Rattus norvegicus: one gene and its partner. The protein of the gene in region 1 purifies or fractionates together with the protein of each later gene. This does not show direct contact. Links are inferred from orthologs where the notes say so. Each region holds a gene or a part of one and is shown in the gene's direction. Other genes may lie near its edges.

Region 1 (3,999 bases):
TCTCTGCCTGTGGGAAGCTCCGAAGCTCGTGTGATCATGTTTGTGTGTGGCTTGTATACTCATGAGTGTGTACATTCGAGGGCTAAATACAGGTATGGGCTTGCGTGAACATCACTGTGCACCGTGCACATGTGAATGTGTAGGGGTGTGTATGTGAATGTCATCATGTGTGCGTTGATGTATGTCTTAGGAACCCTTGTAGGATAAGTGGGTTTATATGAGCGCCTGAGGATGGTACGAGCAGATGTCAGTACATGAGCACAGGCGTGCTTGAGAGTGTGTTTGTGTATTCCTGGGTTGTATGTGCACACCTGGGAGTCCTTCAAGCTCAGGAAAGGCTGGAGATGTAGCCCCATGATACGATGCTTGCTTGGCATTTGTAAGGTCCTAGGTTCTATCCTCTGTGTGTGTGTGTGTGTGTGTGTGTGTGTGTGTGTGTGTGTGTAGAGAGAGAGAGACAGAGACAGAGGTAGAGACAGAGAGACAGAGACAGAGAGACAGAGACAGAGAGAGAGACCAAGAGACAGAGACAGAGAGAGAGACAGAGAGAGAGAGACCAAGAGACAGAGACAGAGAGACAGAGGCAGAGACAGAGAGAGAGACCAAGAGACAGAGACAGGGAGAGACAGAGAGAGACAGAGAGTCAGGGACAGAAAGACAGAGACAGGGATCTCAAATAGTGATATTGGGATAGATTTCACTTTGAATGCCCCAAGGAACATATCCCTCCACAAGTGGGAAGGAGCAGCCGAGAGAAGATGGAATAAAGTGTATACCCAACCGTAAAAGGAAGGCAGCCTCATTTTCGGAATAAGGGCTAGGTAGGGAACTAGGAATCAACCGAGAGGCTGAAGAAGGCGTTTAAGAGAGTGAACCCCGAGGCAGGCCTCATCAGTAGGAGAGCAGTGGCCCCCTGCTGGATCCGCAGCATCCGGGACTGATGCTCGGCATAACCAGCGGTGCACTGGGTATGTGGGACAGCCCACAGAGAAGCCGCAGCGGGGCACACGGGTGCGGCTCCTCGCACGCCTCACTTGGCTGCTCCGGACTCCACACCCCAGGCAGCCGGGCGGGCGCGGTTCCGGACGGTTGGGGGGGGGGGTAGTTGGGCGGGCTGGGCGGGGAGGAGGCGGGGCTGCTGCATTGCCTTCACCCAGCTGCTCCCGCCCGCCCGCAGCCAGAGCGAGTGGAGCCTCCGCCAGCTCCGGCGGGCAGCAGGCGCTGGAGCGCAGCGCAGTTCAGCTCAGCGCAGCACCATCGGTCTGCGGAGCGGACTGAGCTAGAAGCGGAGCGCTGACGCCGGAGGCGTGCAATGAGGAGGGCAGGTGCTGCCTGCAGCGCCATGGACCGGCTGCGCCTGCTGCTGCTGCTGATTCTAGGGGTAAGTGGTTAGCAGGAGGGACTCCTGTTGACCTTTTCAAAGAGCTGAACCCCAAGGAGACCTGGGTGCCACCACCCAGAGAACAGAATAGGACGTCAAGGTCCCAGATGTTGGGAACGGGTGGCGGAGGAGCTGCGGGGCGGTGACTCACAGGGGCGCTCCTAGCTTCTAGGACTTTCAGAGCGAGCGCAGAGGCGACCCAGTCCCAGGATAGAGATGCAGGCAGGAGTGTTGTAACGATGCTGGTTCTTGGTGCTGCTGGTACCGCTGGTGGTGGTCCTTGGGCACTACGGTGGGTGCGGTGTAGGGGACTGGGAGCAGTTTCTCAGGGGCGGGGGTTGGAGGGAGGTTTGGAAATCTCAGGCGCCTGGGTTCTTCTGACGACAGCATGTGAATTCTGGGATCCCGCGGGGAGTTTTCTCTTTAGCATCTTAGTCCCTGGGGAGTTGTAGGACAGAATCCGGCGCGAGAGAAGGAAGGGGAAGAGATCAGCGCTAGAGATGTGAGGGGCTAGAGACGGAACAATGGGGGAGGCGGCTAGAGGGACTGGAGGCGGAGGGGACCCGGTATGGACAATGGGGACCGGCCAGACAATGGGGGGGAGGGGCGTCGAAAGGAACGATTCGGGAGTGGCAGAGAGGTTGAAGAGAGAGAAGTAGAATTTATGGAGGGCAGAAAAGAGACAGCCACTAAAGAGATAGAGAGGTGGAAAGCCGGTGCAGACCCTGAAGTGCTCAGGGCCCCGCCTGTCTACTCAAGGTCGGTGCGATGAGGACAGCCGAGTCACAGAGGTTTCCCGCGTGGGTTCTAGCACTCTTTCTAGCGGCCTCGCCCAGTCCGGGAATTGCGTCTGGGCATCCCAGGCTGGGAGGGGAGCGCCCACTTCACTGTGACAAATCCGCTTCCAGGATGGTTCCTTGGCAAACCTTTCATACGCTTTGAAGCAACGCAGTGGACTTGGAGAGACAGAGCCAGGACATCCCCTTACCCTATCAGATGCCAGCGGGCTCTTGGGATGCGAGCGCTAGGACTCTCAAGGCGGTGATGGTTCCGGCAGCGCATAGCTCGGGGATGCAAAAACCCCAGGCGACCCGCAGGGGGCACTGCGGGTGAGGGATTGCTATGGGAGCTGCGTGTGCGCCTAGGGCTGCGCACTGCACCCCTTCTAAGTTAAGCGGCCACCCGCCCTGCGCCCTCCGCGCTCCTTCCGGTAAGGAACTTAACAGGATCATCATCCCGCCCACACCTGGCCAGGCTTTCGGTAAAAGTCAATGAACCCTTCTCAAATGAGACAGGGGCCGCTTGGATACCTGGCATTCTGTCGGATTGCTGTTCCAGCTAAGGTCATCGGGTCCTCCTTCTATGAACCCGAGTTCTCTAGGTATTTCTGACCAGATCTTAAGGAAGGTTAGCAATGAAAGTGGCGTCCTTACTCTTCCCTCCACCGTTTCCTTCCTGCGAGCACTGCCGCCCCCCCCCCCCCCCAATCTCCATCCTACTGATAAGGAGGCAGGGACTTCGGAGTTTAAACAAGTTGGTTAAGATCTCACAAGCCAGAGCCCTGTGGCTGGGTGGCCACCCCATTCCAGCTCTGTACTCCCTCTATTCAAGAGAGCATCTGGGGGGGGGGGCGTAGGTGGGCAGGGGCGGCAGCTAGTCCGCTTCGTTTCACAGCAGGGATGGTGACACCATCCCAAAGGATAGGCAGGAGGTGGGATATGAAGGCGATCGAATGGTGAACCCTCTCAAGCTCTCATCCTCAACCTCACACACGGTTCCCTGGAGCTATCAGTACTTGCGGAGTCCTCCGGGGACCTGGGAGTGACAGCAAAGGTGTTTGCTAACTAATGCCTCTGGTTAGAGGTGCTCCTTGGTCCTCCTTAAGGTTGGCTGGGGAAGAGGGCCTGGGGCGCTGTGTGATTCTGATCCTGGAGGGGTGAGGGCGTGGCCTCTGAACCTTGACAGAACCTTCGGACTTGAGCCCCTATGGCTCTGCTTTCTCCAGGCTGTTCGGCTAGAGCGGGTTCTGCGTTCCTCCGCCGTCCGAGCCTCTTCCTGCGCCGCCGAGAGAGTGCTGAAACCAGAGCGCAACCCGGCGAGTCTGCTGGCGGGCCGCGCCGGTAATGGAGGCACTTTGTCATTCAGACGTCTGTAACCGGAGCCGCCCGGCTGGCTAATGCTCCTAATAGGGGTGCAGCAGCGTAGGCAGCAAATGGGCAGCGTGAGCGTCGAGGCTGCTGTGGAGGGTGGGTGGTTAGATGGCTCCACCCTACCTGGCCAGCCCTTCTGACTGTAGCACCTCGCTCCTCCCTAGGGGTATGAGTTGGAAGGGCAGTCACAATAAAATCGGTGAGGTGCTTACTATGACCTGCACTGTCTTGGGTACTTTTATGTTATGTATTCCTTAGGTGCCTGCAAGGTAAATTTAGTGATTCCCATTTTACAGGCGAGGAGGCTGACCCCCAGGAAATTTAGGCAGGGTACTAGGCTCCCCAACTTAGAAAGCAGAGGTGGTCGTTGCGTTAGTCTTCCTTCTGCGCAGTTCCTTTTCAGCTTCCCCACGAGAGGGGGTGTGGTCCTGGACTGCCACTGGCTGGGTAAATTAGACGCTGCCCCGT
Region 2 (3,394 bases), on another chromosome or scaffold:
GCATAATTTTAAGATGTTTTAAACTTGAGGAACTCAAAGAAGGGCTAAGGAATTCCATTATTTCAGAATAAGAAAGATGATCAAATTTAAGGACTTCTGGCTTTGGAAGCTTCAACCATGGTCATTGCATAAAGGAAAGTTCGAGGAAATATCAGGTTCAGGTTACCTCCTCTCAATCTACATTTTTTATTTATGAACACCAATATGCTGCCTCTCATTTATGAAAGAATGTTAGATATTATCCAAAAGAATTGCATTTGAAAGATATTGGGAAAGATTTGGACGTGCGCCCAACATGGAATTAGTCATTTGCTAATGACGTAATGCAAGACGTGGAAGATTTCTTATAAACATGAAGATGTAACAGCAGTAAGCAGGGGGAAAGGGCACTGGGAGTGCATGAAAAATACACTATCATAAAATGTGTATTAATAAACATGTTGATCATTTCCCACTAGATTCTTAAGGGAATTTCTAAATGAAATCAAAGTGACCTAATAGAAATGCAGAGCCCAAATCCATAGTTATTAAAATAATTGTAAGCCAACAAACTAAGAATCCAACGATGAATGAATACATATAAATAATTTTATATATCTGTTTTGTTCATGTGGGACCTGGGGTTTAAACTCAGGTTCATGCTTGAACTGCAACAGCTCTTGCCCACTGAACCAAGTCCCATTTTAATTAAAATTTTAGACGCACATCAATTATGTTATATGAATCTACTTCTAAAACATTAAATTCTCACATGGATTGATTTCCAGTGTCTGTAACTATACTTTGCATTCTTCCTTGTTTGATACTGCTCAGATTTGTAACGATTTATCTCTATTAATAATTTCTCAACATTCTGATATTAGACAACACATCATCATCATCATCATCATCATCATCAGGTATGACTTTCCAAGAAAAGGTTATTTTTGTCTCTCCTATTCTTTTGTGGAAAACTCAAATTCAAGAATTAGTCTTCTTCCTCCAGGACCTTCACACTTAACTCAGTGTGTCGGAACTTAACTTCACCATCTCAGCTATATCTTTCTCCTTCAACTTGTTTCTTTCCCCACTATCACCCATCTCTGTCCCATACAGGAGACCAGGAGATCCTTTTCATAATACTAGTGGTACCCTCCCTTAGACCCCAGTGGTTGGGCTTTGCTACTTCGCTCCTATCCAGCCCTACCACCCTTCTGGCTTCCCACTACGCATGCGCAATATAGCGTCTGCCCCGCCCGGCCCGCTGCTGCGGAAGGCGCAGTGCTCAGTAAAGCGCACTTCCTCTGCTAGTATCCACTGAGGCAGTGCAGGCTCCGAGAGCTCCGAGTCGCAGCGGTCCTGCTCTGATCAAAAGACGCAGAATGTCGGAACAAAGTAAGGACCTGAGCGACCCTAACTTTGCCGCTGAGGACCCCGACACTGAGATGCAGGTCAGCGATGCTGTTCCGGTGGGGGTCCCTCCTCCCGCTCCTCTGGCCGCGAACCTCTCAGGGCCATCGTGCGCTCCGGAAGGCCCTATGGCAGCCCCACAGGCCTCGCCACCACCTGCAGAACGGTTTGAAGAGGTTGACCCTAAGATCCTGCAGCAGGCCGCAGAAGAGGGCCGCGCCCACCAGCCCCAGAGCCCAGCCCGGCCGATCCCAGCACCGCCGGCCCCTGCCCAGCTGGTGCAGAAGGCGCACGAGCTCATGTGGTACGTGTTGGTCAAGGACCAGAAGAGGATGGTCCTCTGGTTTCCAGACATGGTGAAAGAGGTCATGGGCAGCTACAAGAAGTGGTGCAGAAGCATCCTCAGGCGCACCAGCGTCATCCTCGCCAGAGTTTTCGGGCTGCACCTGAGGCTGACCAATCTCCACACCATGGAGTTCGCCCTGGTCAAAGCACTCAGCCCAGAAGAGCTGGACAGAGTCGCGCTGAACAACCGTATGCCCATGACAGGTCTCCTGCTCATGATCCTGAGTCTCATCTATGTGAAGGGCCGCGGGGCCAGAGAGGGTGCGGTCTGGAATGTGCTGCGCATCCTGGGGCTGAGGCCCTGGAAGAAGCACTCCACCTTCGGAGATGTGAGAAAGATTATCACCGAGGAGTTCGTCCAGCAGAATTACCTGAAGTACCAGCGTGTGCCCCACATCGAGCCTCCCGAGTACGAGTTCTTCTGGGGCCCCAGAGCTAACCGTGAAATCACCAAGATGCAGATCATGGAGTTCCTGGCCAGAGTCTTTAAGAAGGATCCCCAGGCTTGGCCTTCCCGCTACAGAGAGGCTCTGGAGCAGGCCAGAGCTCTGCGGGAGGCTAATCTTGTCGCCCAGGCCCCCCGCAGCAGTGTCTCTGAGGACTAAAATGTCCAGGAGCACATTGATAGTTTCTGACCCATACTAGGGCTGTGTAAGGGTGGGGTTGGACATTAGAGTATCCCAGATTCATAGTGCAGTATTTCATGTATAGTTTTTAAGTTTTCCATCCAGTGCTTTTTTTATCTTGTAATGCAATGTATTCAGTTGTGTACTCGTGTAGTGTTTAAAATTGATGCATGTGTGTTTTATAAGTGAGCAAGTTGGTACTTTCACTTCTGTGCTTTCTTGGATTTTTGTACAAGAGATGTGCTGTGCTAAACTTGTGAAATACATTGAGGTGTTCTGTATCTTGTTCTTTGAATGGGACTGATGGTCCGTATCGACAAAGAAGGCCCTGGAGAGTTAGCAGGACTTAACAACAACACAGACCTGACCAAGAGAAAGGTCAGGGTCCCTCTCCATATGACTCCAACTGGCACAGGAAACATCCATGTGGAATGGACTGATTTGAACTGGACTGTTTTCAGTTTAAGCACTTAGCACACTTTGCAAAACATGTATCCAACCCCACCATAAATAAACTTTAAAATGAGCATTAAATATACCGTGAAATAATTTCTTTGTTTGGGGGGGAGGCATTTATTTTGGTGAAAGGGGGAATGGGAGTGGGTAGGGATGAGAAAGATTCTCCCCGTGTACAACATGAGCAAGTATACTTCTAACAGAGTGGGAAAACACCACTCATAACCACTCAGAAGTTTTTTGAAAATTGTGGTGCTTCAAGAAATTGGTCACATTAAAGGCGTGATAACAAAAAAAGGCATGTTCACATAACGTGGGAATAATAACAGGAATTATGTAGGGACTGTCCCTTTTCTGTTTTGTTTTGTTTTGTTTTTTTGTTTTAAATAGTCTTTGGTGGGCACTTTAACAGAATGAAATATTGCTACTAAACCCTCGTTGTGCATTTTCTTCTTTATTTTATCCTCCCACCAGCCATAAGAAGTAAGGAATGACTGTATCAGCACAAAGCAAGAAAAATGAAAGGATGCTGGTAATGAAATACCCTAAAAATCATAGACCTTATACTGGAGTCTTGA

The links. Proteins that work in one complex are often made in the same cells at the same time.
Region 2: the proteins of Ngfr (region 1) and Ndn purify together in Homo sapiens (affinity purification with western blotting; 3 studies listed by BioGRID). This does not show direct contact. The link is inferred for Rattus norvegicus from reciprocal best matches to the Homo sapiens genes NGFR and NDN.

What each region holds. Positions count from the first base shown.
Region 1 is NC_086028.1:81,027,506-81,031,504, reverse strand, and holds the start of Ngfr (tumor necrosis factor receptor superfamily member 16 precursor), read left to right. Parts: upstream 1-1,199; 5' UTR 1,200-1,312; coding exon 1,313-1,381; intron 1,382-3,999. UniProt on the Homo sapiens protein: Low affinity receptor which can bind to NGF, BDNF, NTF3, and NTF4. Forms a heterodimeric receptor with SORCS2 that binds the precursor forms of NGF, BDNF and NTF3 with high affinity, and has much lower affinity for mature NGF and BDNF.
Region 2 is NC_086019.1:125,259,765-125,263,158, forward strand, and holds Ndn (necdin), read left to right. Parts: upstream 1-1,294; 5' UTR 1,295-1,361; coding exon 1,362-2,339; 3' UTR 2,340-2,894; downstream 2,895-3,394. UniProt on the Homo sapiens protein: Growth suppressor that facilitates the entry of the cell into cell cycle arrest.